2 linked regions of the Tribolium castaneum genome follow. The protein of the gene in region 1 interacts with the protein of each later gene in a pairwise test. Links are inferred from orthologs where the notes say so. Each region holds a gene or a part of one and is shown on either strand. Other genes may lie near its edges. The genes, in order: exosome complex component MTR3 and Csl4.

Region 1 (3,395 bases):
AATAAGCCTTTTTCTTGGTGAGGGAAGGATTGGTAAACATTTTGGGGTCATAGTCGAACGTTAGATTATCAATTAGTTCATTGGTTGTTTGGAGCATTTTCTTGGAAAAACTTTCGTTTGGCTCCTCAGAGGCGAGAGCACTTGGGATGGGTTGGTGATCATCATTGAATGGAATTGTTTTAGCGACAAAAACCCTGCTATTGTTCATAAACTTCGGGATAAATTCCACGAAACAAATTTTATCAAGCTTTTTCAATTTTCGGAAACAGACAAGAACTTTGTTCTTTTCCACACAATACTGCCAAAAACTAGCAAAGAGGTCCAGCTCTTCCTTAGGATCCACCTCGATGATTACCGGGTTTGTCAAAACAATGCCCACATCCGTGACCCTGTCAGACACCTGAACTAGGGTGTAACCAATTGGTAGGTCTGTGTTTCTAATTTTGAAGCGTTCACTAACACTGAACTCGAGTGAGCCTAACTCATAGTCAAGCTTGTAGGTTTCAATGGAGTCATTTACTGTTTTTGAAACCTTTTTCAAAAGTTTTCCACTTTCGGAAACGGAAGCGTTGTTGTAAAGTCGTTCCTCTTGGACAAACGACTTCTGCCTGATTTTAAGAAACCGTGTTTGGTCATTCGCAAAAGGGAAAAACAGCAACCTCCTTTGATAAAATCTCCTGACAACTGAGGAAGAAAGTTTCTCAAATAAACCATCTTCATCTTCCACAACTGTCTCAACGGGAGGGCTCTTAATGATTGAAAATAACTCATTGTAGAAAATTTTATAATCGAAGTTGGGCTTCATGGTCACCAACTCGAAAGTGATATCATTAGACTCGAAATTTTTTGCTTCGTTAAGTGCAGCAAATCTTTGGTTCTTGTCACCACGAACGGGGTTATCGTCGTTGGTTATGAAAATGATCGTTCTTTTGTAGAACACCGAATTGACTTCCTTGAACTTTTTTTTGCAAAAGAGGAAAAATGAACTCAAATTTAAGCCGCTTTTTCTTTCATACATATCCAACAATTTTTCCTGCGACAATTCATTCTTTTCTTTAAGCAATTTTATTGATTGTAAGATGTTATCGTTGAAATTGACAAGCGACGCTGAAGCATCTTCACGTGCCAATACCACACCAAAAGGGCTCCAGCTTCGCTTATTTTGGACAAATATTAGCGAATTTGCCAGATTATAACAGGCAGAAATGCAATCCTTAAACGGGGTATTGCCATCGCTTTCGTTTTTAACAAACATCGAAGGGTCGGTATCGATTGCAATGAGGACGAAAGATGGTTTGTAAAACGTGTTAGAACTTGCAGATTCGTCTCCTACGTCTTCGTTATCTGACATCTGAAAAGAATAAGTTCATAAAACATCTTTATTTATAAACGTATTATCAATAGGTAGTAACATTTCTCACCTTGATTAATTAATTAACAGTAAACAATCAAAAAGAACAACAGCAACAAGTTTACACAAAGTTGCGCCAAATTTGACGTTTTGTTGACAATCCCCTTGAAAGCGAACCACCAGAAAACATAAATCCAAAAATGCGAATAAATAAGTCTAACATTTACTCTAACTATATGTTGCTGTACAACGGCACAAATTAATACGCGCCTAACGTAGTTTTTATGAAAAAGAATTAAATTAATTGTGTTTTCTATTATTCGACTTTGTGAGACTTGTAAACCTTGAACTTGGAATGGTTGACAATTAGCTATATAACCTTACTTTTTTCTAACATAACCTTGAACTGAGAGATTTAAAATATAATTTGCAAAATACACTATGCCCGTGGATCACAAAAGAATCAACGGTCCGGAAATTTCAATTCCGTACCAACTATTCGACAAATTAAATACAAAATCGTTGAAAACCCAATTCAGTGAAATAGTGCAGCCGAATGGGACACGAGCCGATGGCAGGACATCAACCGAACATCGAAAAATATGTAATTTGTCTTTAGGCCCTTGCGTGTTCCTTGATCTAATTTTTAATTTTCTAGTCTTGAAAACTGGGGTTGTTAGCCAGGCCAAAGGCTCAGCGTACATTGAATTAGACCAAACCAAAGTAATCGTGTCTGTATTCGACCCCCGCGAGATACCCAACAAAACTGACTACAGTTCCAAGGGCGAAATCTACTGCGAGTTTAAATTTGCACCCTTCAGCTGCCACAAACGTAGGTTGCACCAGCAAGACGCTGAGGAACAACAGTTCAGTGCTATTATGAAACAAGCGTTGGAATCGGCAGTATTCAGGCACGAGTTTCCGAATTTTCAAGTCGATATTTACGCAATGGTGCTGCACAATGATGGGGCTGCTCTAAGTGCGGCTATCACGGCAGCTGGGGTCGCCTTAGCACATGCTGGGATTCCAATGTATGATTTAATAACGTCAGTGACTTTAGCTGTGCAAGGGAATCATCTTTTGGTCGATCCAACTTTAGAAGAAGAACGTTTATGTCAAGTTCCTCTGTTTAAAGAAGAGGAAAACAATCACGGGATTGTTGTGCTGTCGGTTTTAGCGACACATGAGCAAATTTCACAATTTTATCAGAGTGGATATTTGTCGTACGCTTGCTTGAGTTCAGGCATTGAGATGCTTACTAATGCTGCTAAGGACATCGTTACTTTAGTTAAGAAATGTCTTGTGAAACATGTTATTAAGAGTGTAAGAATTGTTGAAGATTAAAGAAATAAATTATATTTTATTTAAATATTTTTTTCACTGTCAAGTAAGGCACTAAAGTTGAATTTTTATTACAAATATGGAGTTAAAAAAACAAAAAAAAATTCGCGAAGTATGAGAACTTTGGGATGTTATGCAACCAATAATACAGACTTTAGTAATTCAGTCTTTTTTAAACACTTTCAACACGATATAATTTATACTGAGAAGTACTTCTTGACATACACTTCAAAGTAGTATTGGAAGAATTTAAGATTTTGCTCAAACAATAAACGAATAAAAAATAATACCTTTTTAATTTTTTTCTTGGTCTCCGTGGTGGTCAAATTCAGAAATTAAACCGTTGAAAGTATAGAAATATGATGTCCTAGACTTTTTGAAAAAAAATTACTTCTTTACAATTTTTTGTATCTTCAACCATATTCGCAGCATTCGCAAAAATATAAAATGGAACGTAAATTGAGCGTTAATTCTTTGCGCACTGTCCCATATTTATCAAAATGCTGGGAATACGGTTGAAGATGCAAAACAGTGTATGGGACAAAGTTGTAGAAAATTAAATTTTCTTTAAAAAAATCTGGACACCATATTTTTATCTTCTACAGTTTAGGTATAAATTAACTTTGCATTACTTGACCACCGGTCAATTCAAACGAATCCTTCGCTTCAGCGTCTTTTAACTTTGGAGTCTAAACCATTAACG
Region 2 (3,135 bases), on another chromosome or scaffold:
TCTAAATAATTTAATTGTTATGGAAACGGCCAGAACAACAGTGACAACTGTTAATACAGTGAAACTTCTGTCACCCGAACTAATTCGTCCGAAATTATATATTTTTGAAATATATAGAAAGACGAAATTTAATTGTAAAAAAATTTATTCATCTTTTAAAAACTGCTCATCCGCTTTATTGAAGTCTTCGCTTAAACTTTGGGGCACTTTAAGTGTCTTCAAATCATCTTCTCCAATTTCCTCCTCGGTGCGTATCAAAATATCGACCAAATTTTCACACGCTAAAAGCACCTTTCTGTCCTTTTCCCACTTGTGCAACTCGCGCAAAATCACATAAGTGTTTCTCTCTCTGATAAATTCTCGATTTTTTCTCTTGGCACATAACTGGGTCAAAGCCTCCAGTAACATGCACCTGATATCTGGATCTTCTTCACGCTGTTTCTCCTCCGGGAGATATTGCAGTTCAAGGGGGAGCTTGTCGTTGTCTTCGTCGTCAAATTCCTCGTTTCCGGCCAGGGGGCGGAGCAGCCGGGGCAAGATATCGACATGGGGGCCCAAGAGCAGCTCATGACACTCGGGGTCAAATGTGCAGTTACGCAGGGCCCCCACGACGCCCCCGCGCCTCACGGCCGACTCCTCGAATTCAATGAAAGGCACGAGTTTGTGGATCCGGTCCAGGAAGCGTCTCCGGACGCGCCCACTTTGCGACAAGTTCGAAAAAAGGGGGCTCAAGTAGTGGAGGTTAGCCCCCGCTTTATTGTACTGTTTTTTCGTGAAAATGTCAATCAAATCGTCCAAACTTGCGCTTTTCTCAAGCGCATCAATCACTTTATCGTGATTGGCCCGAGATAAGTTCGATAAAATCATGCAGGAAAAATCGGCGATTTTACTCATGGGGTCCGTCACGAATTTAACAACAGTCGAAGTAATGTCACTCGGGGGGCTCTGTAAAGGGGGGCACCCCACACTCGTGTCCAAATCAAGCAATGCCAGGGCCCCCTTGTGATCAGCAGAGACATTAACAAGGCAAAGTGCCGAGTCTTTGACAATTGTGGCGTTATTATCACTCAAAAGTGTGATTAAGGAGACCAGAAGTGACGGTGTGTTGATTAATGTGGCAATTCCGTCCGCATTCCCCGTCAAACCTACAAAAAAATTACAAAAAACAAGTCTAACCTCGAACCCTATTACCCAAAATGTGCCCCAAAGCCACCGATTTGAGGTCCAAACGGGCCCCCAGATGCACAAACTGCAACAATTCGGCCACGGAATCACCCATTATCAGGCTAAAGCCCCCAAAAAAAAACAAAACACGAGGGGTGACAGCTGTCAAAAAAGTGGGGTTAGGTGGCAAAAAATCATTCTAATAAGTAAGGCATTATTTTTTTAGGTTTATCTCTACGTTGTATGTATATACAGGGTGTAATGAGTAGTTAAATAAACATAACATAAACCAGTTTATTTAATTCTGTAGCCAAATTAATGGTCGTAATTGGTAATTAATGTTAATTAATGAATGAGAAAGTAAAATTTTGCAAATTCGTTTTTTGACAATTGACAGTGACACTTGACGTAACCTCAAAAAAATCAAAAATTTCGTTTTTGTGCTGATTTTTCGCATGTTATAGCTCCTTGTGTGCCTTTGATTGGCTTTGAACGTCGTCTGCCGTGATAATAATATTGACAGTAAAAGGAACACGCAGTTTTTGAAATTTCTTCATGTCAATTGACATTTGACTTAACCTCAAAAAAAATCAAAAATTTCGTTTTTTGTTGATTTTGGGCATGTCATCGCCCCTTGTGTGCCTCCCGGGGCAGCGGCTGTGCCTGTCGGACCCCTCGCACGTGTCCGGTCAAGGCACGTACGAGCGTGGGGGCTACATCTACGCCACCCTTGCCGGTGTTGTGGACATTGTCCCCAAAGACAACGTCCAGATCATTGAAGTGCGCAGTTCCGGGCAGGAAACGCTCGTGCCGTCACAGGGCGACATCGTCACAGCGCAAATTCACACAATCACGCAGCAGTTTTGCAAATGCTACATTAAGTGTGTCGGGGATAAGGTTTTGGGGCGGCAGTATCGCGGGATTTTGCGGAAGGAGGACGTGCGAGCGACGGAGAAGGACCGCGTGGAGATTTACAAGAGTTTCAGGCCCGGGGACGTGATTCTGGCGAGGGTTTTGCCGATCACGGAAGCTCACACTTATCAGTTGTCCACGGCTGAGAATGAGCTGGGGGTCGTGACGGCGCACTCGGAACATGGGGGGCTTATGGTGCCTGTGAGCTGGACGGAGATGCAGTGCTCCAAGACGTTTGTGAAGGAGGCCAGGAAGGTTGCAAGAGTTGTGCCAGAAAGCGTGCAAAATGATGTGAAATAATGTTCAATAAATTGTATTTTTGTTTATTTTAATAAACCCTTTTGCGTCCCTTAAAAGTGCAAAAAAGTTAATTGAACTATTAGAGATAACCCTATAAAGTTTATAATCGTTGGAAAGCTCTTTGGATTATCTATTTTTTTCAAAAATGATTATTGTTCTCCGACTAATAGTTTTCGAGAAAATTGCAAGCAAAAGCAAAAATTGGAAACATTAAAAAAATCATAACTAAAAAACTATCGGGAATTTGGCGATTTTCTCGATGTCAATCGATTTCCCGGATCATTTTGCATAGGTAAGGATCAAAATAGTTCCACTTTTTCGAATAGTTTAGCCGTAATTCGATAAAAATTGAAAAACTTAAAAAATCACGCTGCTTCCTGAAAAACGTGCTCAAAAAACTTAAAAATAAACGCAGGCGCGAAAATTTGAATTTGAACCTAATTCTTTAAATATCTCGGAAACTAAGCGTTGGGCGCAATTTTGTTCTATGAGAGAAAAGATGCAACTTGATGTAGTCTAAGCGACGGTCTGGTTGAAATTGTAATTTTCAATAGTCATTTTGCTATCTCTTTAAGGAGCCATAAAAGACCTACACATTTTTGTGTTTTTGTAATGTCCAGTTCAGGCGGTGAAGTTTGAGGGGTCACTCGATGGGGTTTATATTAGTTTGAAAAACCCACCCTTATATTTTTTTTCAACTTTTATTAATACTTTTTCTAGTTTCGGGAACTGTTTGCAGTGGAGAATAAGTTGGTTTTG

What was found.
Region 2: the proteins of exosome complex component MTR3 (region 1) and Csl4 interact in a two-hybrid assay, tested with the Drosophila melanogaster proteins (2 studies listed by BioGRID). The link is inferred for Tribolium castaneum from reciprocal best matches to the Drosophila melanogaster genes Mtr3 and Csl4.

The regions. Positions count from the first base shown.
Region 1 is NC_087396.1:13,655,840-13,659,234, reverse strand, and holds exosome complex component MTR3, read left to right. Parts: upstream 1-1,652; 5' UTR 1,653-1,792; coding exon 1,793-1,955; intron 1,956-2,009; coding exon 2,010-2,695; 3' UTR 2,696-2,720; downstream 2,721-3,395. Other genes in the region: X-ray repair cross-complementing protein 6, read right to left, coding at 1-1,351.
Region 2 is NC_087401.1:17,299,308-17,302,442, reverse strand, and holds Csl4 (exosome complex component CSL4), read left to right. Parts: upstream 1-1,485; 5' UTR 1,486-1,572; intron 1,573-1,628; 5' UTR 1,629-1,785; coding exon 1,786-2,376; 3' UTR 2,377-2,432; downstream 2,433-3,135. Other genes in the region: protein HGH1 homolog, read right to left, coding at 145-1,145, 1,192-1,279.